Linked DNA regions of Alligator mississippiensis. The protein of the gene in region 4 purifies or fractionates together with the protein of the main gene of each other region. This does not show direct contact. Links are inferred from orthologs where the notes say so. Each region holds a gene or a part of one and is shown on either strand. Other genes may lie near its edges.

What was found.
Region 1: the proteins of CSNK2B (region 4) and NKAPD1 purify together in Homo sapiens (affinity purification with mass spectrometry; 3 studies listed by BioGRID and IntAct, counting the BioPlex papers as one, with this or other methods). This does not show direct contact. The link is inferred for Alligator mississippiensis from reciprocal best matches to the Homo sapiens genes CSNK2B and NKAPD1.
Region 2: the proteins of CSNK2B (region 4) and CEP170 purify together in Homo sapiens (affinity purification with mass spectrometry; 3 studies listed by BioGRID and IntAct, with this or other methods). This does not show direct contact. The link is inferred for Alligator mississippiensis from reciprocal best matches to the Homo sapiens genes CSNK2B and CEP170.
Region 3: the proteins of CSNK2B (region 4) and NKAP purify together in Homo sapiens (co-immunoprecipitation; 3 studies listed by BioGRID and IntAct, counting the BioPlex papers as one, with this or other methods). This does not show direct contact. The link is inferred for Alligator mississippiensis from reciprocal best matches to the Homo sapiens genes CSNK2B and NKAP.

The regions. Positions count from the first base shown.
Region 1 is NC_081839.1:31,775,340-31,782,298, forward strand, and holds the start of NKAPD1 (uncharacterized protein NKAPD1), read left to right. Parts: upstream 1-3,941; 5' UTR 3,942-4,045; intron 4,046-4,241; 5' UTR 4,242-4,242; coding exon 4,243-4,311; intron 4,312-4,319; exon of another isoform or gene 4,320-4,774; intron 4,775-5,571; coding exon 5,572-5,672; intron 5,673-6,840; coding exon 6,841-6,959. Other genes in the region: PIH1D2 (PIH1 domain-containing protein 2), read right to left, coding at 1,168-1,314, 2,058-2,329, 2,665-2,910, 3,571-3,874.
Region 2 is NC_081824.1:159,685,407-159,692,878, forward strand, and holds the start of CEP170 (centrosomal protein of 170 kDa), read right to left. Parts: upstream 3,015-7,472; 5' UTR 2,878-3,014; exon of another isoform or gene 2,809-2,877; intron 1,587-2,808; exon of another isoform or gene 1,425-1,586; intron 1-1,424. Other genes in the region: SDCCAG8 (serologically defined colon cancer antigen 8), read left to right, coding at 3,649-3,715.
Region 3 is NC_081831.1:72,523,309-72,530,394, reverse strand, and holds the start of NKAP (NF-kappa-B-activating protein), read right to left. Parts: upstream 3,011-7,086; 5' UTR 2,983-3,010; coding exon 2,699-2,982; intron 1,951-2,698; coding exon 1,870-1,950; intron 1,333-1,869; coding exon 1,259-1,332; intron 1,074-1,258; coding exon 960-1,073; intron 1-959. UniProt on the Homo sapiens protein: Acts as a transcriptional repressor. Plays a role as a transcriptional corepressor of the Notch-mediated signaling required for T-cell development. Also involved in the TNF and IL-1 induced NF-kappa-B activation.
Region 4 is NC_081834.1:58,329,440-58,336,830, reverse strand, and holds the start of CSNK2B (casein kinase II subunit beta), read left to right. Parts: upstream 1-4,383; 5' UTR 4,384-4,491; intron 4,492-5,228; 5' UTR 5,229-5,239; coding exon 5,240-5,311; intron 5,312-5,608; coding exon 5,609-5,711; intron 5,712-6,537; coding exon 6,538-6,653; intron 6,654-6,759; coding exon 6,760-6,835; intron 6,836-7,211; coding exon 7,212-7,391. Other genes in the region: GPANK1 (G patch domain and ankyrin repeat-containing protein 1), read right to left, coding at 1-304, 1,727-2,310. UniProt on the Homo sapiens protein: Regulatory subunit of casein kinase II/CK2.

The DNA.
Region 1 (6,959 bases), on a different chromosome or scaffold from region 4:
CAAACAGTCAAGAAATGGATGTTTTATTTCCTCATTTAGAGAAACTGGAAAATGACCCTGTAGTACATCAGGAGGTCATTTATCTTCAGAAGAAAACTGATTTTTTTATTTCCCTTTCTCAGCCACCACAGAACCGATCTTCATCACTCGCATTGAGTTGGTTTATGTTCTTTCTGAATGCTAGCTAGTATCTTAGACCCCTTTCCTAGATGCTGGGCTGCTTTAATAGTGACATCTTCACTCACAGGTATTTCTGAGTTCTGTTATTCATGGGCAGCCTGTGTGTGCGTGTGTGGCAGACCAGCAAGGGGACAGGCAGCGCAGTGACAGATAGGAGAGGGAGAAATTAAAGCAGCAGTTCAGGCTGGGACCATGGGGCAGAGTAGCTGATCAGGCAGGGGAAGGGAATCAGAGTGGCACTCAAGATACAGGGCTAATCTGTGGCATACATGCCAAAAAGGCTGGCCCCTAGTGCTGTAAACAGTCCATCTCTGAACTGGCAAGATAGTTCTGGGGCACTGCTGTTCTGTTGTCTAGCTCTGAGATCACAACATGCTTGATCAGGAGTAGGTTAAGGCTCATCCTCTCAGCACAGCTCCCCATAGCCCTCAACCATTTAGGCAGCCAACAACTGAATAGGCTATTCTTTTTGAAGTAAACAAATATCCCCTGTGGAATGCCATGGAACAAAAGCAGGAAGCCTGTATTTTTGTCTCTCCTAGGCCTCTTCAGTCTATTAATTAAAAAGCTTTGGGTCCAGCATCTTTAACTGCATTAAATCTACTTTTTTAAGAGGAAAAAATGCTGGTGGGAGCAGCTAGGGGAATGCATAGAACATTTCTTCAAAGATAAGTCTCTCTTCTTATGAGGAAACCAAATTATACAGCAAGGTTTGTATGTAGATGATTTTAATTAGTATTACATGTATTAAAATAAATGTTGTGAATAACCCTTCAATGCTTACAACTTTTAGGAAGAATTAAAAAAAACAACAAATTTTAACACTGAAATCTCTTTAGACTAAGGCTACCTGTTCTGTTTGTACCCTACATTCTATTACTCTTTAACATTTAAATAGGAACAGATTCCTAGAAGAGTGATAGCAATTTGTATCCAGTGGTAAGAGATTTGCCATCCACCTTCCCATCCTTAAAAAACCTGCTGCCCCTAATATTCTGTCTGGGAAACTGGCATTGTGATCAGCAACACACGCTTCCCTTTGTCGAATGTGGCTGTAGCTGCTTCTTCATTGATTAACTCTGGCAGATCCAGCTGTAATCTGTATTTCTCAGGGACCTCGATGACTAGATCATCCTAAAAGAGGCAAATAAAAATACTCAGTAATGCAGGCACTTAATAGTCTCAATTAGAAGTGAAGGGGGATCCTGTAGATGTGCAGCAAGGCTGCTTTGATATCCTGTAAATCCACTTCATCGGAGCAAATTCGATTAATCGAGTCTGCTGGAGCACGGAAATTAACGTGATGCAGCAGCCTCCAGCATCATGCGCATCAGCGTCCCTGCAATGAAAAATGGCAACGGGGGCGCTTTGAACTAAAGCTGGTGGTTTGATGAGCTTTAGTTCAAACCGCCCTGCTGCATTTTTCAGTGCAGGGATGCTGATACACGTGACAGTTGGGCATTTTTAATTATTGCGGCTCGCTAATTAAAGCACCCCCTCCACCCCCTTCCCGAAGCACATCTGTAATGCCCAAAGGTTTTCTGGGAACGTTTAGAATCAACTGAGAGAAGACACGAGGTTATCATCATCCCCAAGGGATGACAAGGTCAAACAGTCACGAACTTCTCCAAGACCATTTCAGGCTGGACATAAGGAAGAACTTCTTTACAGTCCGAGCCCCCAAGGCCTGGAACAGGCTGCCGCCAGAGGTGGTGCAAGCACCTACTCGGGACTCCTTTAAGAGTCAATTGGATGTCTATCTTGCTGGGATCCTTTGACCCCAGCTGACTTCCTGCCCTGGGGCAGGGAGCTGGACTCTGATCTTCTGAGGTCCCTTGCAGCCCTGATGTCTGTGAAGTCATTTCTGTTCCACTTGCCTTTGACATGCTCAGGTCACATTCTGAAACAGAGCTAACTTTCGGCAGTTCAACCTTCAGTTCAATCTTTATGGGTTTCTTGTCAGCATCTGGCACGACGGTCAATTCATAGACTGGTGCACTGAGTTCTTCCGGCACCTCTGTACTGGCAATCTCCTCTATCAGAGGCACTTGAGACGGCGTGACTTCCTCCTCCAGCAGGAGCATAGCATCCTGGCTCTCCTCCGCTTTTGCCCTATGTATCAGCTGGTCAAGCGTCAGCCCTTTCCCATCTGAAAAATGTTTTACTGAAGTTATTCTTTCATTTCTAAGAGGCTCGTGTAGGCAGTAACTAATCTAACCCCAAGCGACAGAACTGTGCCATTGCTAAATGTAAGTTTTGCAGTCAGGAACTCAGCAGCTTGGGCTGGTAACCTAACTACTTGTATGTAAGTGGTTTGGCATTTAAAGCTTCCACCAGGATCGAGCTCGAAGCTCAGCCAAGACTGGCTTCAACCACCTGTTGATTTCTGAGAGTGGGAACTGGCTTTTATAAACTGATCTGGCAGGGGCTGCACTGAAGGGGGGAGCTGAGCCTCTCTCCCATCTCGTGCCACCACCTACTCACCGCTCCTCGCCTGCTCCTGGGGACACGGTCCTGGCGTCTGCCCTCTTCTCAGACTCTCCCTCATCCTTTGCAGGCTCCCTTTCAGTTTGAACGGTGCAATGTGGTAGGCGTAGGACAGAGTCAGGCTGTAACGCTCCTCGATGAATTTAAGCGTCAGCCGGATCAGCTGGTCCAGTTCTGCTCCGTTCTCTTCTCCCCTCTGAAGAACGGCGGGGTTGTACGCGACATCCACCACGCTGTAACGCTCTAGGAAACAGCGAGTGACACCAGCATTGAGCAGTTTCTCAGCAGGAGCTCGTTTCATTGACCCTCGCATCACCCCGTCCTGTTTTTTCCCCAAGCTGTGCCATCCCCTCCCCCCCCAAATTAAAATAATTAGTTGTATCTTTCACTCTTCGGTCCCACACGGTGGGTGCTATTCGTTAACTGCGTGGGCCTTTACACCCATGTCCCCCAGAGCAGATACAGACAGACAGGAGCGTGTTTCAGAAAGCCGACTTGTAGAAAATACCGACGCAGCCAAGCGTTTGTCACTCGGGGATTAAAGAAGGTCATTAACGCGGGATGGGGGGAGGTTTCAGCCGGGGGTACGCGTGCCCCTGGGAGCCGCCGATCGCAGCAGGGACCCCCTGGCCGCCCGCCGGGGGCACGCGGCTCCAAGAAGGCTGAGCGCCCCCAACCTGCCGCGCGCGGGAGCTGCAACGTGCGCGCAAGCAGACGGTCCCCAAAGGGCCGCTACGATGCGGTGACAGGAGCGGTGCCGTGCCACGGTGTCCCCGGACACGTCCCGCAGCCGCTTGCGCCCGGGGTCTCGAGGCGCCGCGCCGGGTCCTTGGGGCTGCGTCTGGTGCCGCTGCCAGGAGAGGCGAGGCGAGGAGATCCCGACGGGCCGCGCCCGGCACCCACCTGCCTCCCCCGACGCCTCCTGCAGGCGGCCGGCGCAGACGGGCACGGGGTGCCCGGGCGAGCGGGGGGCGGGCACTCGCTTCCACCCGCACACGTTCACGAATAACGGCTTCTCGCTCGAGCCCTGCGAGGAGGCGTCGGGGCCCGGCGGGTGCAGCCCCCGGCGGCGGGTGCGCAGGCAGAGGCGCGGCTCCGGGGCGCTGTCCCGCGGGCCCCGCACGAGGCGGCGGTAGCGCTCGGGGCTTCGCTCCGCCAGCTCGTCCAGCGCCGCCCACAGCTCCGCCACCAGGCCCTGCGCCGCCATGGCGGCCCCGCGTGCCCATGGCAACCGCCGCCGGAAGCGGAAGGGGCCGGCCCGCTTCCGGTGCCACCCGGATTCCGGGTTCGCCCGCCAGGCCGCCACTTCCGGGGGAGGTGTTTCGCGGGGGCGCACTTCCGGGCGGGGCAGCGCGCGGGGCCTCGCCGCCCCCGCAGGGTGAGGAGTGTGGGGGAGGGGGACACGGGGGTGTGGGGGGTGAAGGGGGAGGGGTGAAGTGGGGGGCAGGGGGTGAAGGGGAGGGGTGAAGTGGGGGTCAGGGGTTGACTGGGGGAGGGGCGAAGGGGAGAAGGGTGGGCAGGGCGAAGGGGCACGGGGCCGAGGCGCTGAGCAGAGCCGTGTCCGTGCCCCGCAGGATGTCCCGGGTGCCGCTGGGCAAGGTGCTGCTGAGGAACGTGATCCGCCACACGGACGCGCACAACAAGGTACAGCCGAGCGCCCACCCGGGAGCTGCCCCCAGCTGCCGCCGCGGCGTTGGTGGCCTTCCCCCCAGGCCCAAACGTCTCCCCTGCTGGTCCCGAAGCCCCGTCTTGGTGCCGGGGTCTTTCCGGGCCGCGACGCCGTTGGCACGTGGCTGCCGCCGAGCCGTGTCGAAGCGGGTTGTCTGCGCTGGGGTCTTTGGGGCCTGCGGCAGAGCGTAGTTTGGATGTCAGCTCAACCGCCGCAGCGCTCTTGTCGCCTCCGCTCGTTCCTGCTGCTTCGCCGCGCGTCCCCGTGCATCGCTGTAGCTGCCATGTCTGCGTTGGACCCCAGACGGCTTCTAGCGCGGGGGCTCACGCGGGCTGTTGTTGAGGGCAGGGGGTGACTTTCACCTCGTGTGTCCCATGTGAGAGGGAAGCTTCCCCGCGGCAGCTCTGCTCTTTGGCTCGCAAGTTTCCTTTAGCTCAGGTACAAGACACGTTTGTATTCGGTTTTGCTTTCAGATTGGTAAGTCCCTGCTACACGTTGCACATATTGTGCTATATGCACGTTGCATATATTGTGCTATTCATTGGTTAACCACGATAGACTTAGACCAGCAAAGTAATTCCCACCTGATAACAATGACTCTTCAGCTATGAAAAGAGCCAAGCAGCTATAAAGTTAGTGCTTGAAAATGTGTAACAACTCGAGAGCTGGTTTCTGTCCAGCTTTCATTTGAATGTGGGGCAGGGCCCTTCGTACTCCTTTATTTGAGCTTTAAGCCAGGCAAAGAATGCTTGTCCGTTCATTTGTCTTTTTATGTTCGTGAGGTGATGCAACATGAACCAAAGTTATGTCAAAGCTTTAGGCAGCTGGACGCTGAATTTCCAGGCTTATCGCAGCTGCTGTCTTTGGATCCAGCAACATGATGCTTGAGAGAAGTTGTGTGCCTCAGTGTGTTGTATTGAACATGGCGAGAGCCGATGTACGTAGGGAACCTGCAGAAATCGAAATGCAGAGCGAGGCCTGTATGTGAACAGTGCGGCGCGACTGTACAAAACAACTAGTTTTCTGTGCAGTTCACCGTGGTTGTAATGTTGCACCTTTTAGTTAATACAGTATGACTAAAAAGCCTTATTTGCATCAGTGTAGCAGGGTGGTTCTGCTTGAAATTCATCCAACTTTGGAATTGCCTCTTTGAAGAGGTGATACTTTGTGCTTTGTATTTTCAATGTCACATGTATGAGGTACTTCTATTTGTCTCCTTTTTCTTTTTTTTCCAGATCCAGGAAGAATCAGAAATGTGGAAAATTAGAGAGTGGGAGAAACAGACTCAGGAGACTTACGAGAGGAAGCAAAGGAGAATCTTGTCTGACACATCCAGGTAGGCGGATAAAATTACTCACTTTGTAACCAGACCACAGCAGCCTCTGTAGTGCAGTAGTGATGAATATTTACAAAACACTTAAGTGACCTGTATGTAAATGCAACAGATGTATCTTCTGACCACTTCTGTGGGCCCTACAGGGTACAGACACACGCTGAAAGACACCAAATTCCCGTTGAAGTTTCAGATTGCGTGTGTGTGATGATCCAGGCATGCAGCTCTACAGCTGTGTAACTTTAAATTGGCTGGGGCCCCTGAAATAACAAGATTATAATATGGCTTGGAAGTAGTTAGAAAGTTGATGGAATAATTGAAGGAAAAATTGTGCTGTCCTAAGCTGATTGACCTCCTTGGTGCTTGTGCACTGCTATTGCAGTGTGTGCTACAGTGGTTCAGACCCAAGATCTTGCCCAGTGTAAATCTGCCATAGTTCTTGACCACTCTTAATTTTGGGTTTTAAAATAGCAGCAAACTGTGGAGAGTCAGTGCAACAGATTCATTGTGAGCCATCATGGGCATGCCTGAAAGTCTCATAAGCTAAAGTAAGATCAGCCTCATGTGATTGATCTGTAGAGACCTCCAAGGAGTTTGCAAAGCTGCAGGTAGTGGTTTTCTGACTCAGTTCTGCTTTTCTTTTTCAGTCTGGCCTGATCCCCATGCCGGCTTGGCACTTGGCAGGCTCCCTGAGATCATTAGAAGCCTTGGCACCATTGTTTCTTAGATTCAAGCTAACCAACTTCCAACTCCAATAGTTACTTTCTGCCTCCTGACCTCTCCTGATTTCTGCCGGATGCCCTATTCATCACACCCATTGTCCTGCATGCTGTTAAGCAGCTGTAGGAATCTGTTCCAGAGGTGGTTGCGCATGAGCTGTGAATGAAGTAATCCTATCCCGTTTCTTCAGATTGTTTGGAAGTGCATTGAGAAATTATGGTGGAAGGCGGCTTTGATAGCGCAGGTGGTTAGTTAATCACTGGGCTGGTCCGTGGAACCCGTCTATGTCTATTCTTGGGAGATGTAACTTATACTTTGCATGGGTTGATAGTCAGAGACATTTAGATCTGTGCTTCTTCCTCTGTGCCCTTTGCGTCCTGAATTGATCCACTGCACAGAAAGTCTCTTCCTCAGAATTGCCTGCTGAAGACTACTTGTTTTCTTTCGGCAGCAGTCGGATGCGCAGTGATGGGTTCGATGAAGAAAGCCAAAGAGCTGACTGGAAGACAAAGAACTTTGAACACATTCCTGATGTGATCGAAGAGGATTTCCTTAGGGCCCGATCTTGGA
Region 2 (7,472 bases), on a different chromosome or scaffold from region 4:
AAAGTAAAGCTTACTAGCCAAAAGCTCATGCTAAAAAAGGCAAAGAATATCTGACTGCAAGATCCAGGGGCAACCTCTACCACCACAACAAACCCCTTGCTACTAGGAAAAGGGAGTACAGTGAAATTCCTAACAAGCAGTATTCTTAACTAATTACTTGGTACAGTAATTGCGTACAACTTCTTTGGTATCACTGACTTCCAATTAACAAATTAGAAACTTCATTTCCCAAGAAAGGACATGAAACCCTTACTTCTCCATACTTCTAATAATCTCCTACTTATTCTAGTGTATGAAGATCTGCACTACTACCTTCAAGAGCTTCTGCAAGAGGGAATTCTCTGCTACTCTTTCCATCTTACCAACCTTAGCTGCTGAAGCAGAGATGAGAATTTCTACACCCTGGTGTTCTGCTTCAGGAACAGCTTCAGTGCCTCTCTTTTACCCGTTAAAAGATTTCACAAACACCAGAGATGGATATGAATCTGATTAGTTTCACAGTTTCTTAAATGGTTCTGAACAACAACCAGAAACTAATCAGATCCACTTTAATTTCATGTTTTTTGCCAAAGCTAAGAGGAACAGCTGTGACACTAGAATGCACTATTTCCAAACTGAGGAAAACAGCTCAGCATCAGTTTATATTAAGCAAGTTAGATTTGCATGCACATAGGCAAACATTTGAATACAAGATTGGATTCTGTAGCTACAGGTGGACTTGGCTTTATTCAGGTGCTAAGGGAAGTTTCGATATTTGTCACCTGTATGTAAAGAATTCAAATGTTTCCAGTTCACTCTTTTAACGTGCGATTCTTTTATCAACAAAATTATGAACTGTCCTAAACTGCTATGCATAAGCAGTCTTTTTAACAGCTATAAATTCAGCAAATTTGAAATCAAAATCAGACAAAGATGGAATTCCACAATAAAGTTTTTAAAAAGACAATTTTCAGAGTCTAGCTTCACATTTAAAGGATGCAAACAATTTATAAAGGTCTATCTGCACTTAAAGTAACTGATATTATTACAAGCAACTTCTAGGCTACTGAAAGATGAGGGGAAAAAACTCCCTTTTGTAGATTGCTTATTTCATGCCCTAAAAACAAAATCTTACACTTCCCCAACTTCAGTGTTTTCCCACCAGTGACTTTCCCTTGTTTGTGTAAGCCTTAAACAGAGCAAAAGCTGAAAGAAAAACATACGTACAGTAATTGTTTCCTTTAAAAACAAACAAACCCTCAAATATTGATTGGGAAAAATCACAAGTATACACCTTTTTTTTTTTTTTTTTTAAAGATCAAACAGATTTCACATTTACAGTGCCTTTTTTGGCCAGATATATTATTCAGCATTTAGGCAAAACCGAACACTCTGGGAAGCTAACATGGAAACCACAGTATATGTAAGCACGTGTTTTCCCTTACAGGTTTCTCTTGGACTTTGGGTCCTGATCCTGCATGCCATTTAAGAGGGGTAAATCCATTCACATAGTCCTATTGCTCTGAGTGGATCTCCATGGAAATACAGGTGCCCACCTGCATCAAACAGCATACAAGACCAGGTTTTATTCTCTCAACTCAGTTAAATATTTTATGAATACCTCTGCCTTCACAGAAGGTGTTTACATGACACTGGATCCTCTCCATCAACACTCCTTCCACTAAGGGTCATAAGAGAGTTCAGCCATTCTGCATCCTCTACTCAACTACACAGTAAATACACCTTAAATCTGTAAGGAAAAGGTGGCATTGCTGTTGACTCGCATGTCCAGAATATGCACGCAAAATGACATCTCGAAAGCTGACAACTAGCTCACTGCCACGAGCTCTCTTTTGTCGAAAGCCAGCTTCCCTCCACGTGAGACTGGAACTGTGGGACGTTCTTCCTGCATTCAGCATTTTCAGAGGATCACAGAAAATTCAGGTGGGAAGGGACCGCAGAAGGTCCAACCCCCTGCTCACACCAGAACAGTCCCCAACTAAAGAAGAGCTTGTTTTCATTTCAAGCAGCAACATGTACCATCTTAACATAACACACACTGAAATCCGGTGAAAAATAAGAAACACGATGAATTTCCTCTCAGGAGGGAGGGGTGGTCTTAGCAGCCCCTCCCCATGCCAAGAAAACAGACTGACAAAGCAGGGGGGGTGCGGCCAAAGAGCAATTTTTTCCAATCCAATAAAAGATATCACATCTACCCAAAGAACGGTGGCTGCCTAACAAACACCCCGGATACCAAATGGGATGCAATTTTGGAACCAGGGACACAACTGCGACCAGAATCCCTCCTCTTCCCTGCCCCCCTGCAGAGCCACCAGCCTGGGGCTGCGTGTGGATGAGATCACAGACCACAGCTCATCCTCAGACCTGTCATCTGCCTCTCAGCCCAGACTCTGCTTCCTCTTGCTTCGGGTTGGAAAACCGCCATCACGGCATTTTTGATATTTTTAAAATTATTATTCTTTTGCACCGCTCGTTACCCCTTCGCGGCCACTCCCAGCACCTCCCCGCCCCTTCCCTCCAGCCCGGCCGCGACCCAGGGTGGGGGAAGCCCCCTGGGAGAAGGGGTGGAGGGGGGGGGGTCTCTGCCCTCCCCTTCCAAATGGACAAGGTGGGGGAAGGGGGCGCAGCTCCATTCATTCAAAGAGGACGGAGCTGCCGAATAAGGTGGAAGGGGGGGGATGAGGAGTAGAAAATGAACCAGCTGCCGGTGAGAGGACGCCGCCCGTCCACAATGCCCCCCCGGCCTCGTTGTCCCCCTCCCCCTCCCGTTAACGGTTACGGGGCTGGGCGGGGCACCGCACTCACCCCCCGTGGGAGAACCGCCGCGTGGGGAAGGGGCGCCCGAGTGCAGCCGCCGCCGCCGCCGCCACTTACTGCCCCACCACCCGCCGGACCGGCACTGAAGCTGTTCGCCGCGCTCTGACGCCAGTAACCGCCGCACCGTTATTCCCCGCACATAGCGGGTAACGGCACGGAGCACGGCGCACCACTGCGCAAGCGCCACCCGATCGCGCGCACACAATGCGGAGGCTCGGGAGGGGAGGAGCTCAGTACGCAAGCGCGGCCCCCGCCGAGCGCGCCCCGAGGAAGCCTCAGTGCGCAGGCGCACGCTCCCAGGCAATGACGGGCTGAGGGGCGCGTGCGTTGTGCATGCGCCACAGGCAGGCAGCGGAGGAGCAGGGGGAATCTGCCCGCCGCTTCTCTAGGTCACGACTGAGCATGCGTCAAATCTAGACCCTGAGGAGAAGGGGGAGGGGAGTGAGCACGCGCAGATCGGGTCGCGCATCCAACAAAGGGGAAGCGGCGCTGAAGAGTCTCTCTTTGTAGCGGGAGGGGCGGCTCGCGGTGGATGCTGGGAAGCGTAGTCTCAGGGGGACTCTCTTCGCGCGTCAGGGAGAGGTGAGGGGCGGGGCCTCGTGCTGGTCGGTTAGCAACGGGCGGCCAAGCGGCTCTTGGGCGGCCTGCCGGGAGTTGTAGTTCTGCTGGGAGGGCCTGGCTGCGGGGCGCCCCGGGGCCCGGAAGGCGGCCGGACTACAGCTGCCGAGCGCCCGCGCGGGCCGGGAAGGGCAGGAGAGCAGGGCTGCCCCTCGCCTTGGAGACGGCAGTGGTTGCAGGGGGCGGCGGCGGGAGCCGGACCTCGGCCTCATGCGGGAGCCCCGGGGAGAGCCCGAGCTGGAAGAGTCTCTGGAGCGCTACCACAGCCGCCTCCGAGGTGAGCGGAGCAGCGGGGAGGTGGTGGTGGTAGTGATAGTTCTAGTTCGACGGGAAGTTGCGGGGTTTGGAGCGCTTCTCAGGTGGGCCCCAGCCCCCCCCCACCCACGCCACCCCATGGGGCGGCTTGGGGCCCCCCAGGCCCCTCACCCCATATACCCCCCCTTGCCCCACACACTAGGGGGAGGGGGGCAGCGGGGACACTGGGTCAGGACTGGCCATTGATGTTTACAAATGAGTTCAGAAAAGGTTATGAATCACAGCTCTGCGCCACGTGCATGAGATCTTGCCTACCTTTTGAAGGTAGTTCAGTATCCCTGTGCTTACAAGGGCTCTGATTTGAAAAGTTATTTTCTGCCCTCTAAATAGTCATCTGTGCCAGCATAAGACTCTTCATCCCCAATGTAACAACACCTGCACTGCGGCTTTGGCTGAAACAGCAATGTCAGATAGGACCATGGGGGAGGGGGGAATATTCACAGCTCTGACCAATAAATCTAGAATCAGTATGAGGGACGCGTGACTTTTCCCAAGAAGTCCTGTTTTAGGCTTGTAAAAGTTGACGAAAAGTGGAATCAGAGCAGAGATCCAACCTTTAGTAGTTTTTGAGAGGGCTTTGTAGAGGACTGTGTTCTGTATTAAGCCTGGGAATAACTTGAAATGCTGGTGGCCCAAATCCTTGCTTATGCAGGGCATGTCTACACATGCGCTCTAATGCGTGCGTGGTAGGCTATTTTACTGCATATTAAAGCATCACTTAAACGTGAGGTTGATGCACAGGAAATGTGCATTTTCAGAGAGGGGGCTCCCATACACACCCTACATACCTTCAAACCCTCCCCTGCGAATCCTACAACCACACCCTCCCCCACACAATCGCACACCCCACAGATATGGTACCCACCACACACCCACCTGCCTCTGGGGGAAGTTCCACTCACTGCTACACGCACAGTCCCCACAGCCCCCCACAAACTCTATACCCACCCACACATCCATACATTCCCACAGGCCCCCCATACCCACCCAACACCTAAATACACACACCCCCACAGCTCCCCACAAACCCCATGCCTACCTACCCATACCCTGCCACACCGCTCCACCCCCCCCACAATCCCCCCCCACAATATACAAGAGTAAGACTTCATTTTGAGCTATTATACAATTACTTCTATGTATACGGCACAAACGCACACAAATCAAGACAATTTTTTTTTAATAAAATTAAAATATATTATTACGGATGTTTGATTTTTAGTGTATAATTCGTTTTGATTTTTTTTTTTCGGTTCCAAGCCCCCTTCCCAAAAGGAGTACTTCCAGGAGCAAGGGGAGGGACTTACGGTGGCAAAGTTCAGAGGTTGGGGTAGGACTTCCAGTCCCAAGATGTTGACCAGGGGATGGGGTGTTTGTGATGGGTTAGGGCCACTCTTGAGGCCCTCGACAGCTCACCAAAACTCATTAAGTGCCCCTCCAGCCAAAATAATTGCCCGCCTCATATTAAGAATTGTCACTAAAATCCAGTATGCCCTTAAAATGTTTCTTGGTATAAAGTGGGATTATTTTTACTTTCTTTTTTAGAATCTTGTCCTGTACTTCACCCTGAAAATCCTTTACATTTAAATTAACTAACTACACCACTTTATTTTCTACTACTTCATAGATTCATAGATGTAGGGTCGGAAGGGACCTAAGTAGATCATCAAGTCTGACCCCTTGCTCTGGACAGGAGAGAATCCTGGGCTCATATGACCCCAACTAGGTAATTGTCAAGCCTCCTCTTAAAGACCCCCAAGGTAGGAGCAATCACCACTTCCCTTGAAAGTTGGTTCCAGATCCTAGCTGCCCTGACTGTGAAATAGCGTCTTCTAATGTCCAGCCTGAACCTACTCTCAAACAACTTATGGCCATTATTCCTTGTTACTCCAGGGGGTGCTCGGGGGAACAGGGCACCATTCCCCGCTGGTCTCCCCTGGTAAGTTTCTAGAGAAGGTATAAACAAATGATTTAACCTCTACATTTTGAGAGAAGCCTATCCTTTCCCAACCCTGCAGTTAACACATTTGTCAAGCATATGTCCTTTACCTTCTTCATTTACTTTGTTTTGTCTTCTGATACCATAGTGTGTGTGACTCTGCCAGTCTCAGTATTCTGCATTTTTTTAAACAAGGGTGAACCCTGTCCCCTTGCTACCCTGCCTGACATTGGGTCCCTGGCTTGAGAACCCTTTTTCTTACAGTTAGTCGATTTTAATGGAGATATCTGGCAGATCTCTGGGGAGCTAAACAACCAGCAGATGTTTTGAAAAGCGTGTTCAGTGTTCATGCAAACAAGACAGCATTTCATATCCCACCAGTATATTTTATGTAAGCTGCTTGTATAAATTGGTATGAAAAAGCAAAGCTTACAGGAAACGTGCATATTGTCAGCATGACCTTCCTCTTGCCTTGAGTATTCATAATTCAGACTCACCGCTGTTCACTTCTTGAGTTATTTGGTTTATGCCATAGTTATGCTTGTTCTCAAGTGTTCTGACGGGAACTTCACCAAAAGTTGCTGCTGTTTGGTGGTATCCTTCATTCACTTGTTGATAGTTCTTGATGGTTCATTCATATCAGCCCAGATGTGGCTGGGACTCGCACTCACTCACTGCCTGCCTTTATCCTGTGTTTCAGGAAAGAAATGAATCTTTTCACATATAATGATTAACAACAGAAAAGTGAGTGTACAAACTGAGTCATGCATGTTTTTCATTCAAATATAGAAATATCCTGTGTTTTCCAGACAACGTAAGTGCTATTATGCTTTAAGTTAATTTATTCCTGACCAGTACTACTGGTTGCAACTCTGAACAATATCAAGGTTCAGATGTGCCTTCCTCTGTTTCTACTTGGATTCTTTCATAGTTTTATAGTTGTTAGGGGCTGGAAGGGACCTTACAGATCATCAGGTCCAGCCCCCCTGCACTTAGGCAGAAAGACTGCTGCAATCAGATGACTACAGCAAGATGGGCGTCAGGATGCTTGCAATCCAAGTGTAGTCTGCCACATACATACTGGTATAAGCACAGGTATCTACTCGCTCATTTTTACAAGTGATTCTTCTGAAATGGAAGCATTGCTTGTCATTTACAAACATGATTGTATCAGGAACTGTTTTCATTACACAATGCTTCTTTGCCTAGGATGATTCTTGTTTTCTCTCTCTTCTGCATTCCTGCCTCATGATGTGCATGTTGTTGAGGATGAGTCCCATTAGGTTTCATTACAAACAATGCAAATCTAGCAGTATTTCTTGTCCTTTCAGATTTGTGTAACTTTAGATCAGTATCCTCCCAGACACCACCCTTTTGTACTTGTTACACAAAATCATGTTGTTTGGGTGCTTAACTTTTTAGTATTAAAGCTATCTATATTCATGGGGATCACTATGTGATACTGGACTATAGGTTACTTTTTAGTAGGAACATTTTTAGATAATGTGACAAGTTTAATGGAGGTCACCTTCAACTGTATTCTTTTGTCAGTTTAGGAGTGCCAGTGCTGTTGCTTTTCAGAGTTCTGTGAGTGTGTTGGTGGTCTTTTGCAAGTGCTTGATCCTTAGGTTAATTATAGATCCACTGTCTTAAAAACAAGTTTAGTTTTATCATGAAAAAGTGTGTGAAGCAGTTAATGTATTGCTTATTCAGTGTTGTGACTCAGATTAGATTAGCCTATGATAATATTTACTATTCCCTTTTATTAAAAATGTCACCC
Region 3 (7,086 bases), on a different chromosome or scaffold from region 4:
CAGCCCAACCCCTCTGCCGGGAAGAGCCTGATGCATCCCCTGACCCCAAGTCTGCAACGGGCAGCTCACCCTCACCCCATGCACAAATCTGGGGAGCACATACCTCCCCCAGGGGTGTGCACAGTAGTGAGAACCACCCCCTCTCTCCCCACCCTGCACCCCCGGCCTGTGGCTTTGCCCTACCCTGGCTACACAGCACCTGCCCCTGTTCCAGCCCCATTCCCTCCTTCACTGTGGCAGCCTCAATCTGGCCCCTCCACATCCCTTCCTTCCCACAGACACCTTCCTCCCCACAGACTTACCAGCCGGACACTGCTCTTCAAGCTGCTGGGCTGTGCATTGGCTATCGGATCAGTATTGGCCAATAGGGCTAGTTAATAATCAGCCATTGGTATTGACCAAAAAATCTTTATCGGGGCACCCCTAGAAATAATGCTTAAGCAGGTACATGTAGTATCACACAGTCTGCTCCAGTTCCTACCACACTTGACCTGAAAATTAATGGCCTACATTACAGCCAGGGTATCATTCCCTGATGGCCAAACCTCATGCATTGAAGCTGGAGCTATGATCCTTCTGCGCTAGGAGACTGCTGTAATAAGTTGAAAGACTCTATATTACAGGTGTATTAAGGAAAGATTTGAGTGATCGCTTAGTGCAAAAACAGGCTTTTCCACATGTAAGAGGCAGTAAGGAAATCAGAAGAGGAAGAGGGACTAGGAAAATGTTACACTTGATTCTTAAACAGAACACGAAGTAGTTAAGGTTGAAAGCAGACATGGACACAATTACCAAAATCTCCTACAGGTTATTCTTCACAACACGGATTAAGCAACTGAAACAAAACCTCAGGACATCAGGAAGATACCAAACAAAAAGCAGGCGCATTACTGACCATGACTGCAAACATACAGGAGAAGGTTTCAGATGATACACACCAAGAGAAGCTGTTTTCTTACCACTGGAGTTCAGCTCAGAGTCGGACTCGCTGTCACTGTCCTCAGAATGCTTTTTGCGTTTCCTTTTTGATGATTTTTTCTTCTTTTTCTTTTTCTTCTTCTTCTTTTTCTCTTCTGAAAGAGAGCGTTACAAACCAGATGAGCACAGTCTAGCTTCATAAATCCTTCTTGATCTTGGTATCATGCTTGCTTCCGAATCTACAAGAAGTCAATGAACTTCTCTGCAAATAACACGATCAGGCACTAGCCTGAGAAGTTCTATTAATATGTAAACTATTTTGACAGTAAAAATTAAATACCTTCTGAGCTGGAATCTGAAGAGCTGCTTTTAGATTTTGCCTCCTCATCTTCCACTGGAGTATGCTCATCAGAACTGAGAAGAAACAAAGAGTTTAACTTATTATGATCTAAAGCAAAGATCATATAATTATCCAAAAGCAAGCACATGACCAAATGTGTATAGATTCAGAGACTGAGTCAGAGTCAGTCATGAATTAAACCATTAAGCAGCCAATTTAAAATATACAAGTCACTTTCAGAAAAACACTACTAAAGAATCCTAATCTGACTGACAACATATGAGCGTCTTCTCCAAGGGGTGTTTCGGGATTATATGAAATATCATGAACTGATCATATCAGTCTAGTGATCTTTTGATGTGTGTAACGGGACTTCCTTAAAAAAGCAAAACAAACAGAAAACCAAAGTGAGTAGAATTAGGTCAACTAAATACTTAAATGTTTTTAACTGACATAGTAAGTAAAGTTTTATTCTAGCTTGACATAAGATACACAATAGAAATTATAAATATACTGAAGTAATTAAATTATTAATAGCTTTATTTGGGGACACTACTACACACAAGGGTCCTAGAAAGAAGGGGGAGCAACCACAAGACAATGTTACTTACTCTGGGTCAGGAACCTTTGGTGAAAGCCCCCAGATTTCAGGTGCTCCCAGTTCTCCAATTCTCTCTCTCTCATTTAGTCTCCTGTGAAGATCCACATCAGCATTAAATTCCCACGTACTATTCTTCCCAAATGTACATTCAAAAGCGGAGTTGTTTGTATCTCTGCATGCTAGCATTTCTAATCTCCCAGGCCAGACATGATGAGGGGACACCCTTTCTTCAATGGAAACACTTCACGTTGTTTTTTAATTCCACAGCCAAACACTACATCTAAGAACAGGACTCAACTGAATTTTGTTTTGCTCAGTCCTCAAAGGGGTCGGTCTGTCTTCAGTACAAAAACAGGCCGATCTGTCTTGAAAACCAAGGCAGACCTAGAAGGAGGCACACGCCCGTTTTTTTGTGCAGCCTAATAAACCGGGCGTTTTGGTCACACCACAACAGCTCCGTTCAGGAATTTGGAGCAATCGTCCAAATGAGTCATTTCAGACACGCTATTTATTACAACGCAAAACAAATCCAGTGCAAAACAAATCGCAGAAGTGGCTTTATCACGCGCGTGGGTCCCCAAGAAAGCTTTGCGCCTTGCGAGACCAGGAGCGCGGCCCCGGGGAGGACAAGCCGAGACTGGCTGCACGTTCGTGCGCTCGTCACCTCTGCGGGCTCCTCTCTGGCACGCGCTGCTCAAGGAAACCGTTCCCTTGTCCCCCCGCCCCCGGGACACTCGCTTTAATGGGGTGACGTCCCTGGAGGGCTCCTGTGTGCAGCCTCCCTCCCCAGGGGCTCCCTTTTTAAGGCGGGCGGGGGAGGGGACGGGGCCCGCGCTCGCCTCTGCCGCAGCAGCTCCTCCTTCTCCTTCTCGTAGTCCTCGGGCCACAGCTTCCCGCCGTGGTGGTGGCCGTGGTGAGCCGAGGCCGGGGGCCGGGAGCGGCTGCGGCTGCGGCCCTGTCGGCGGCTGGGGGCCTTGGAAGCCTCGCGGGAGCGGCGGCCGTGGCCGTGGCCGTGGCTGTGGCGGGGCGGAGAGGGGCTGGGCGAGGAGCCGCGGCCGTGGCTGCTCCGGCGCCGGGAACCTGGGGACGCGGCGGGGCTGCGGGACCGCGACGCCGGGGCCATGGCGGCCGCCCGGGGCGCACTTCCGGGTGGCGCACCAGCAAACCCGTCCGGCAGGCCCACTTCCGGTTTGGACCGGAACCCCCGCTCTCCCATTTCCGGCCGTCCCAGGTGTCACCGCCAAAGCCTTCCGGCCGGCGGGGAGCTCCACTTCCGGGTGCTCCCCTGCGGCGTCTCCGCCGCGCAACAAGGCGCTCCCGGCGGGTTCCCAGCGCCGGCTCCTTTGTGCGGCGGCGGCCTCGCGCTCCCGGGCCCGCGTGCGACGGCGGCAGCATGAGCGCGCAGCGGGGCGACGGCCCAGGTAGGAGGCGCCCGTTGCCCTGGCGATGAGGAGGGGGCACCCCATCCCCCCCCTCCCCGGGCGGGGGCTCCAGGGGGCGGCGAGGCCTGTGCGGGCGCTGGGGATTTCCCAGGGTGTGGGCCTGGCTGGGCCCCCCGCCTGTGTGAGGGGGTTTGGACCCCCAGGCTGGAGGCGCCGAGCAGGCTGGGCCCATGCTCCCGCTGGGCCCCGAGCCGCAGGGTCCGGCCCCTCCGCTTAGCGCTGGAGCCATGCCACGTTTGGGGTCAGGATTGTGCCCCCTGGTCAGCCTGGTACGGACCGGGGGCGTGGGGGGGTTGCCCTCCTCTGCGGCCTGGGGTCTCCTGAGCGTGCGTCGGCTGCCCCGGGCCCCGCGGCAGGCCGGGGTGCCGCATCTCGTGTCGCGTCAGGGTTGGCGGTCGTCTCGGGTGCCGGGGTGAGCGGGATGGTTTGGAGACGGCTGGTCCCGTCTCGGGCGGGCGGTTGGACTAGGTGACCTCTGGAGGTCCCTTCCAGCCCCGCTTCCCTGTGCCGTCTGTGATCCGCTCCAGCCTCTCGGAGCGGGGCCTCGCTTCACCGCGCCCCTCGTCGCGCCCTCGCGTCGCGTCTGATGTTGCAGCTGGGTGACACGTAGGCGCCCCCAACCCCGCGGTCACGACTGAAACGATTCCTTCTCCAAGCACGTTTCACGTGGAAACATTTCCGTTTGCTCCTATGTGCACCCCTAAAATCTTTTCAGTCCGCCAGCCCGGTCCTTGCACGTGACGAAGTTGGTCGTGCCTACAAAAGCTCGTGCTTGTCTGAAGCAGTTCACGCCGAAGGTGCCACACCGCCTGACTTCAGCTGTGCACGTAACCACCTCCGTGCAGCAGCACGTTGCACCGGACTCTCCCTAGGAGGCCAAGTCGGGCTGAGAATCAAAATGCTAATCTCTCAAGTTGCTCTTAAAATAAAAGCTGCCCGAGCGAGACCTTTTGTGCCAGCTGTACTCCGCTCCATGGGATCTGTGGAGCTGTCCACAACTAGAACAGGCCTCAGAATGAGGGAAAACAGCACTTTTCCAGTGGACAGCTCATGGCCCTGCAATTCCCTTTCCCAAAAAATCAGAATTACTTTGAATCTTCCTACTTGCACGTGGGAGTGCAAGGTGCAACAATTCTCCTTTCACTTCCCTTCAGTCACACCCCCACCAAAAAAAATGGTAATTTGCATGTTCCTATACACTGCAGACACACAGCTAGGCTGGTTATTAAGCACCTTTGGCTTTAAAAAATGAATTTACTGTATTTCCTATATTTGCCATTCAGAGAGCTGGATGGCTAAGGGGAGTTATTAGGCGCGTGGAGCCTTTCATCTCCAGAGCAACTTTGAGCCAAACCCAGCTGATGTAACCAAAAATGGTTTCTATCTGATGTTTTTTTCTGACTCTGTTTCTAAGGGAGGTATCAGCACTACAGAAATCCCACCATCACAAATAGCATTGACTAATAATATTGTTGGTGTTTGCAGGAAAAAAGTCAAGGCCAGACTGTAAGGGGAGTTGAATTAGCTTTAGTTTGATTATTGTGTGAATAACTGCTCATCAGTGTTTAATGGTTTGCAGAGGCTGATTTATATTGTTGATCCTAATGGGGCCTTTCCCAATCGGGGTGGAGACACGATGCAGGGAAGTGCTGTTGCAAATGGTGTAAACACTCCTGGGGTTACCAGAGGCTTTCAGCCAGTCCCAGTCGTATAGAACAGCAGCACTGAAGCACAAAAACCACTGGCACAAAATTCCCTGAGGTTTTCATTAATCCATAGAAGCCCAGATTTAACAGTTAGATGGAAAACCACGGAAGGTGTGGGTATTCTTTTTAACTTTCTCTTTATTATTTTAATCCTTACAAAACAGCAGCATCATACACTCGGCATCAGTAATGTAGTCATAATCCAAAATGTCACAAACATCACATTTTAGCAGTTCTTTGCCCTGTGGAGTTAGCATTCTTTCATTTACAACATTAGGGAAGAAATCTTTATGGAACCTGTTTTCTTCAGAAAAAACTCCATGTTTTTAAAGAAACATGTGTGGGGTAAGAGTCTTTGCTTTGTCCCAACATCTAGTAAACATCAGGTCTAAAGAATCACTTCATAATGGTACTCCTTACTGTAAGGCATGCGCCACTTTACATAGATCTAAATTAAGTAAGGCATAAATGCAACAGCTAGTTCATGGATGGAAAACTGTTCCAGTTTCCACACCCATTGTGCGTGTTATGGGCAGCATCTGGAAGTGGCAGGAAATCTAATCACAACGTATATTAAAATAGGTAAAAATATATTCTCATGTAAGAATGACTTGTTCTAAGGGAGGGATCGCAGAGCTGTGCTGTGAGTGACAGTCTTGTGTTATCTGTCTTTATGAGGCTACGTGGGGATAGCTCTGTCATTGCTGAAAGTATTGTCATGCCTCACGATCATTACAAATCCGTGAGACCTCAGTTACCTAGTGCTCCTGGCTAGTCTCTAATAGAAGATAAAGATGCTTAGCTGGCCAACATTTGTAAAGCGCTTCAAAGCATTTTTACACAGATGAGGTATATAATCTTTATACTCTGTACATTAAAAGCTGGTAGGTCTGATCTTGTTCCCATTAATGTCAATAGAAAGCCACCCATAGACTTTAATGAGTTGAATCATGGTTTGCAATCATAAAAAGTTGACTGTTAAGTAAAACACTGCAGTAGTGGGCATGAAGTAGGTGGCAGATGGAAATCAGTGCTTTACTGTCTGCTAGTGTTTTCAGAATCAAAATATTTCCCTGGATACCATATTTGTATCCTGAGATATGCTCCTGAGATAAGACTGCTGTCAGACTTGGATTATTACTAAGGGTTCTACCTCTGAAATGTCACTTGGTCCCAACATGGGCATGGGGGTTTGTTTCTGTCTCGTTACCTTATCACATTTTTTATATTCTTTTAAATTATAAATGTTTATCACTACAATTTTTTTCTACCAACTTTCCTGACCCATCAAGCCTTGAAGGGAGCTCTTCATTCCCTAATAATTCTCCGTTGAGTTCTTTTAGGAGAAAACAGCTCTTAAGATGGCTTCATTTGACACTTTCTGGGTGTGTCTACACAAGATGCTATGTCGCCGTAGCAACACGCTACATCACCATAGCAACACGGTATGGCGATGTAGTGTCGGCGGACACAAACTGTGATGTTGCAGCTATGTTGCTGTAGCAACATGCTCCCTTGCTATAGCGCGTTGCTACAGCAACGTAGCGGCTAAAAATAACTGTGCACCGCCAGCACCGTACGGTATGGACTTTTCTCGCACCGTCGTTTAATACTTCCAAAAGGAAGCACTAAATGGTGGGGCAGTAACAATGGCGCTGTAGGGGCACATGTAGATGTGTCGTCTTTTTATCACTGTATTGTAGGGGATTTTTTCCTTCTTTCTGAGAGACCGTATAATTTGATTCTTTACATTTGCACTTTATAATGATAATTAGAACTCCCCTCAAAAATTATTTTTTCTTGAAGCATTTATTTATCGATAAATTAACGGTTGCTTTTGCATCTTTATCTTCTTGCTTCCAAGATTACCTGAATCCCAGTTCTTGTCCATCAAACACCCCATATTGTGCAAGGCGCCCAATATACGTTTGTTTTTTAAATACAACATAAAGTTCTTCAAGCAATTCTTCATATGTAAACTGCATCTTAAAATGCCTCCTCGATTTAACGAAAAATTAAAGAGTTACGGGCAAGGATGAAAGGGAGGACTTTCAGATTTGGGAAGGTGCAAACAGATGG
Region 4 (7,391 bases):
GAAGTGTGTGACCTTTGGCTTGAGGTCACTCCGGAAGCCCAAGCCTTTCTGGTCCCTTTTGAGGATTGTCTGAACGGGAAATCTACGGCCAGAGCCCTCAGGCCCCAGCCCAGCCTCGCGGTCCCAACCACCTTTGACCATGAGCTGGAAGCCGACGTTGGTCTCTGGGATGTGGTAGCGGGTCGGGGGCAGTGGGTCGCGGCGGTTGAAGAGGTGGGCAGTCGAGCGCTCATGGAGTTCCACAGTGTCCTCACTGTAGTGCGCCTGGCACACGGCACAGAACTTCCTCTCCGCCGGCGGTCTCCTGAGGAAGGGACCACGGGGTAGATGTCTCAGAGCTCCGAATGAGGGGTGGGGAATGGAGATAGGTGCCTTTCCCCCCTCTCAGGGGTGCTGGCTCCAATCCAGCCCCAAGGCAAGGGGTGGGGAAGGTGGGGAATGGGGTATGTGCCTTTCACCTCCAGGGGACACCAGACCTGATCTAATTCCAGGATGGGGGTCCTGACTGGCTCACAGAGGAGGAAATGGGGCACAGAGCCCTGCCTCATTAGGGGATGCCAGGTCTGATCTAGCCCCACAGCAAGGGAATGGGCTGGCTTAGAGGTTGGGTAATGGGCTTTTTACTGATAGACAAACTTTTTTACTGATGCACCACCTGTTTACTGTCAGTGAAAAAACCTTTTGGGTTTAGCAGCCCTGTGTGACTGCAGCAATGGTTTCACACCACAGGGGTCTCTCTACCAGTGTTCCTTTTAAGTTGTGCGCGCGCACGGCCACACACAATAAAAAATCATGCTGGGCAATAACTTTTTAATGCTACGCACACAGTGGCATACCAACGGGGGGTGGGGCAGTAGGGGGCATGGCTTTGGGCGCCGGCCTGGGGTGGGACACCCAGTTCTGTAGCAAGCGGGCACCGACACTCCCCCTGCTGACACTGCCAGCTTTGCATCTGGTCGCTTGCCAGACACCCCAACCTGGCTACAGGCTGCTGTAGGAGGGGGGAGGGGTGGGCACACTGAGGTAGCCGCACACTCCCAGTCACGATTGCTCACAGATTGCCAAACCTTAGAGGGAACATTGCCCCTTACATCCTGGCACCCCTGACTGCTCCTGTCATGCTGCCCCCTCAATCCCTCCCTCAGCTCTATCCTCACCAGCCCCACTTCCCTCATCCCAGCACAAACCCGCAAAGAATCCCACCTGCAACCCAGCAGCGCTACAGAACAGGAAGGAAGCAGCAGCATGTGGCTAAGGGGAGGGGTCTACAAAATACCAAAAGGTTCACCACAGTGTGCTGTGCTCGCACTTGGACACCAGGTGGTGCTGCTGTGCTCTGTCCACCCTTGCCTCAAGCTCCACTGTCTAACCTCTTTCAGTGAGAGGCTCAGGAAGCAGCCAGTGCTTGCTTGTTTAAGGGATTGCTCAGTTTTATTCACTGACTTCATGGACAAGCATTTAGCTTGGATTTTTACTGCTAAATAGCTTGAATTTAAAGGCTTGGCATGAAAAATCCAGGCTGCTTTTAAATTCAAGTTTCTAGCCTAGATTTTTACTAAATGTCCCTAATTTAAGAACTTGAATTTAAGGACAGTCAGTAAAAATTCAGGGTAAATACATTTGTGTGTAAATTTATGGACAACTGGCAACCCTGGTCATGGGGTTCTTCCATTCCTGGTACCCCCAGCGCTAATCTACCCCCAGATAACAGGATATGGGGCCTCACCTGGGTTCCCTCGTGGGTGGCCGCGCCGTCTCACACTCCCGCAAGACCTCCACCACGTTCTCGTGGCCAGCTTCCTCAGCGAGATCCATGGCATCCCGGCCCTGTGCTTCGCACACCCCCACCCAGGCGGCCCCCCGGCTCAGGAGGTACCGCACAGCCTCTGCCTGCCCGGCGTAGGCCGCACACATCACTGCTGTCCAGTAGAAACCGTCCCGGTAATTGATGTTGCAGCCTTCCTTCTCCAGGAGCCTCCGCAGGCCCCGCAGGTTGCCCTCCTGGGCTGATCTGAGCAGCAGGTTGCCCTTGCGGTCATCCGTCTGGTCTGGTGGCGCAGGGGGAGGAGCTGGAGCTTCACGGCGCCTCCGAGGGGCCCTACGTTTCCGTGGAGGGCTCCTGCCGCCGCCGCTGCCGCTGCCCCCAGGAGCCAGGAGACTCTCATAGAAGCTGCGGGCTTCCTCGCCTGCTCCGGGGTCCTCCCGGCGCTCCCGGGCAGAGGAAACCTGTTTCCGGAGCTGCCCATCTTTCCAGAAGTCTGAATCCTCTCGGGCACGGGTGAAGGCAATGAGCTGGACGCCATGGCTCATGGCTGAGGCCAGGGACGGGGAGCAGGCAGGACGACGAGGGTGTACCACGAGACTTCACCCTATAGGAGGAGACACTTGAAGTCAGCTGGTGAAGTTGAGAGACTAGTTTTGGGGTGGGAAGCAAATGGGAGGGGGAAAGAAACAGACTCCGGGTCCTGACAGGGCCCACAGTGCCCAGGGCAGGGCGGCGAGGCGCTGTGGGCCTCCAGCAGATAAGGGGTGAGGATAAAGGGGGAGATCAGGGTGAGCAGGGCAACAGCACCGGGGCAGAGACGTGCCTGGGGGGGGGGGTGAACGCAGGCTGAGGCGGGACACGGGGCTGCGGGCCAGGGGGATGGGCGTGGGTCTGGGGCAAGGGCTGCAGGTCAGGAGTGAGGGGCACCGGCAGGGCTGGGGGGTCAGAAGCCCCGCCCCGGGGCCTGCCCCCTCCCTAGGCCTTGGCCGGACTCTGGCACCCCCCAGAATCCCCCGCGGCAGCACTCACCATAGAGACACGCGAAGCTTGCGCAGCCCGCCCACCCCACTTCCTGCTCCCGCGGGCCGCGCGCACATACGCAGCACCCGGCGAAAGTGAGGGCGGGTGGGCTGCTGCGCATGCGTAAAAACCTACGGCGGGGCTTATGCGCGCGGTGGTTGGCGAAGGATTTGGAATCTACGCATGCGCGTGCAGAAAGCGGGTGGGAGACGCAGAGCACCGGCGCACTCACTCACGTGACAAGCGAGGAGAAATCGGCGCATGCGGATCAGCAGCACCCCGTTCCCCATGGCAATTAGTACACATGCGCAGTCCTCCCCGCTTCCCTCCCCGCCTGTCTCCCAGCAACGGCCCCCTCCCGCGCGAGGCCGCCGCTTGCCCCGGGCTGCTTAGCCAATCCGGACGAGCGGCCCCCCGGCTTATTTGTATAAAGCCCAGAACCCCCTGCGGTCTGCCAGGTGTCCGCTCTCCAAGCCAGGCGTCTAGGTCCCCGTTTCAGGGGGGCGCTAAGGGCCAGTTGGAAGCAGGACCACTTCTACCCATGGGGCAGGAACGCCAGATTCAAATTCAGAACAAAAAACCATGAACTATCTGAGATCACCCTAGCCTAAAGGAAGGTTGAAACTCTATTTAAAAGCTTGGCTTAATTTGCATATGAACACAAAAAGGGAGTTTAGGAACCATGCTAATGAGCTGGGGCTCGGGCTCGGGCTCATTAACATAAGGGGGGGCCCATGGACAAGAGGGCGGCCATGGAGGCGGCCCGGGGCCTGATCCGGCGCAGCAGCAGCAGCCTGAGAGAAGGTAAAGGGCGGGGCCCGGACCCGGGGTCCCTGGTCCTCAGCTCCCCAACAGGGCCTGCCCGGAGCGTCGGGGGTGAAGCCCCGCCCTTCTGGGATGCCACAGCCCCCCCGGTGGGCCCTGAGGCGCGGTAGCCACGCCCCCTTGGGGAGGCCTCGCTCCTCCTCGCCAGGGAGCGCTGGCGAACCTCAAAATGCCACCCTCCTAGAGCAAAGCCACGCCCCCTTCCAAATAAGCCACGCCCCCAGGGGCCTCGCCTCTGGCCTGGATGCTCCTGCTCTAGGGCCTTTAAGCCACGCCTTCTTCCCCGCAGGCCACGCCCCTCGGCTGCTCTTTTTGAACCTGGTATGCCTCCATCTGCTCCCGGCTCTTTAAATCCAAGCCACGCCTCTCTCCGGAGGCCACGCCCCTTCTTTGTGGCCACGCCCCTCCGTGGCCTTGAGCTAGGCTGCCTTCGGCGGCCCCGGCCCTTTGAAACAAGACCACGCCCCCTTGCTGAGGCCACGCCCTCCACGGGCTCACCTGGACGAGACGAAAACTACAACTCCCCTGATGCTCTGGGGCCGCTCCACGCCCCTTCACGCTCTTTCCCACAATGCACCACGGGCGCAGCTTTCCCGGGCCGTGGAGAGCCTCCAGCCGCCCACGTGACGGGGATCTGCCCGGAAGTTGTTCTCCTCTCCTGGCCTTTAAACCGCCGCGCGGGGGCCGCTGGGAAGTGTAGTCGGAGCCGCGGCGCTGCGCCGCTGCGCCTCTGGCTTACCGCACTACATCTCCCGGCGCGCCGCGGGGCGGGGGGTTTACAGGGGCGCATGCGCAGTGCCCGGCCGACCACAGGGCCTGGGAGCTGAGCGCTGGGCGCTGGGCAGCCCTTGTCGGTGTAGGGGACCCGCTGAGGCCCCGCGGTGAGTGGCGGGGGAGAAACTGGGGGTCCCCACGTGACCAAGGAGTGGGGGCAGGATGGGGGAGGGGAGGGGATGGGGGCCGGGGTAGGAGGCTGGAGCGGGGGTCTGGGTGGGAGTGGAAGGGCTGGAAAGGGCAAAGGTGGGGGTGGGGCTGGAGGTGGGTGTTGGGGGAGGGGCTTGATGCGGGGGGTTTCTTTTCATGCTGGGGAGGGGCAGGGATATGTGCCCCCTCCCCCACTGGAATTTTACCCCCCTCCTCTACACACAAGACAGGTTTGAGTTTGGAGATGTGAGGGGGGGGGTACAGGGATATGGGAGGGGCTGGGAATGACTCTCAGCCTCCCCCCACCACCAGCCATAACTTCTGTCCCTGTTACACCCAGCCCTGCTCCACCCCAGAGCCAGCTGCAGTTCCTGTCCCCATTACCAAGTCCCGTGTGGTCATTCCCAGCTCTCCCGCACTGGTGTGTGGAGGGTGGGGGTGTACGTTCCATGCACTGCCCTTCTTTGCGCCTAGCCAGCCCCAGCTTCTGTCCCTGTTACACTCAGCCTGAATTCCTGGCCCCCACCCCAGAGCCAGCTGCATCTTGGGAGTTTACCTCCGCTGCTGGGTGGGGAGGGGCTGTGCTGGGAGCTGCCTGGGCTAGGGCTTGGGAGACTCCGGGTTGAGACCTGCCGTGCTCGTTACACGACTGGGAAGGGGCTGGTGGGGTTGTGACAGTTTCTTCCCCCGGCAGAGGAAGGGAAGATGAGTAGCTCAGAAGAGGTCTCCTGGATCTCCTGGTTCTGTGGCCTGCGGGGCAACGAGTTCTTCTGCGAGGTGAGTGGGGTGCGGGTGCCTGGGTCCTTTGGATGGGATGTGGGGCCTGGTAGAGTTGGAGCAGGCGGGGCTGGGAATCGAGACACCTGCGTTCTCTCCCAGTTCTTGGAAGGTTGCAGAGGTTGGGAAGTTGGAGTGGGACGTCCGGGTTCTCTGGGAAGTGAAGGGGAAGTGGGAGGTGAGAGCAGGGGGGCTGGGAGCCCCCGCACCTGGGTTCTCTGGGAGGGGATGGAGGGCTGGAAGGGTACAAGCAGCCCGGAAGCCTGGGTCCCAGCCTTGCTTTCCTCTCTCCCTCAGGTGGATGAGGACTACATCCAGGACAAGTTCAACCTGACGGGGCTGAATGAACAGGTCCCCCACTACCGCCAGGCTCTGGACATGATCCTGGATTTGGAGCCAGGTGATGACATGGAGCAGGGGCCTCTGGGAGGCGGGGTGCTTCTGGGGGTCCCCAGGCCTCCTTCAGCCCTCCTGTGCCTCTCCAACTTGGCCCGGTGTCAGGTTGCACACTTGTGCCCTCCCCCTTCACACATACAGAGGTGCCTTTTGGCGTGAAATGTAGCCTAGCTAGGCTCTCCATGAGGCTTCAACTCTGTGTGTCTCACGTGGGGCAGGGCATGGAGTGGGGGCACATATTGCACAAGGGCAGGAGCCAGGCTAGCCTCTGCCTCACGGTGGTGCGAGGGCCAGTGGCAGAGCTCTCGTGCTGCCATGTTTCATGACGCAGGCTTCCCTGCACTGAGCCTCTGCCCCTTGCCCGACGTGTAGCTTGCTTCTCCCTCTCCTTGCGCAAGCACGTGCCATGCTCTCATGAACACCAGTAGCCTGGAGCCCGGGGAGCTGCTGTGTGTGCTTTGGTGCCAGAAGGACATGGTCCTCCCACACTACCTTGCACAAGGTGGTGGGGAATTCTGGGCCTGGGGTACGATGCTCGGGCCTCGCACAAGGGAGTCATGGGACACATTAGTGAAGGAAACACCGTGGGGAAACTTAGGGGTTTTTCACCCGGGGTGGGGGCTGAGAACCTGTGCATGCGCACGTACGTGTCCTTGCACAAGGGTCTGAGGGGCACAGGCCTCACCTGGCACCTGCTGCATTAGGCCCAACCATGGGCAGCTCTGTTAGCCTGGAATCTGTTACCCTGGGTTGCCCTGTTAGCCTCACCTGCTTGGGGGCAACCCTGTTGGCAACCCTCATGGCACTTTTTTCCTTCCCGCCACACCCAGATGAAGAGCTAGAGGACAACCCCAACCAGAGTGACCTCATCGAGCAGGCGGCTGAGATGCTCTACGGCCTGATCCATGCCCGCTACATCCTCACCAACCGTGGCATCGCCCAGATGGTGAGCTGGCTCTGCCCCCACTCCCCAGCCAGCTGGCACCCCCTGGAGGGCATCAGCTACCTCCTCTCCCTGCTTCACATCTCTCAGCTCTTCTATTCTTCCCCAGCTCGAGAAGTACCAGCAGGGTGACTTTGGCTACTGCCCCCGTGTCTACTGTGAGAACCAGCCCATGCTGCCCATTGGTAGGTGCAGGGGGTAGGGGGAGCTGGGAACCTGGAAGCCTGGGTTCCTTGGAAGTGGGGGAGGGGAGAGGCTGTGGGTATTGGAGCAGATGGGAGTGGGAGCCTGGACACCTGAGTTCTGTAGAAAGGGAGTGTGGCTGGTGGGCTACAAACTGGGCTGGGAGCCTGGATGCCTGGGTTCTGTAGGACAGGAGGGGAAAGTCAGGGCTGAGAGCTTTGGGGGGGGGTGGGTTCTGTGGTTGGGGAGTCAGGATTGGGAGGTTAGAGCTGGGGGACTGGGAGCCTGGGTTCTCCAGGTGTTGGAGTGGGGTAAGGGCTGGGAACCTGGACACCTGGTTTCTCTCTGACTCCCTTTCTTCTCCCTGCCCCCTTCCAGGGCTGTCAGACATCCCTGGCGAGGCCATGGTGAAGCTCTACTGCCCCAAGTGCATGGATGTCTACACACCAAAGTCCTCACGCCACCATCACACGGATGGTGCCTACTTTGGCACTGGCTTCCCCCACATGCTCTTCATGGTGCACCCCGAGTACCGGCCCAAGCGGCCGGCTAATCAGT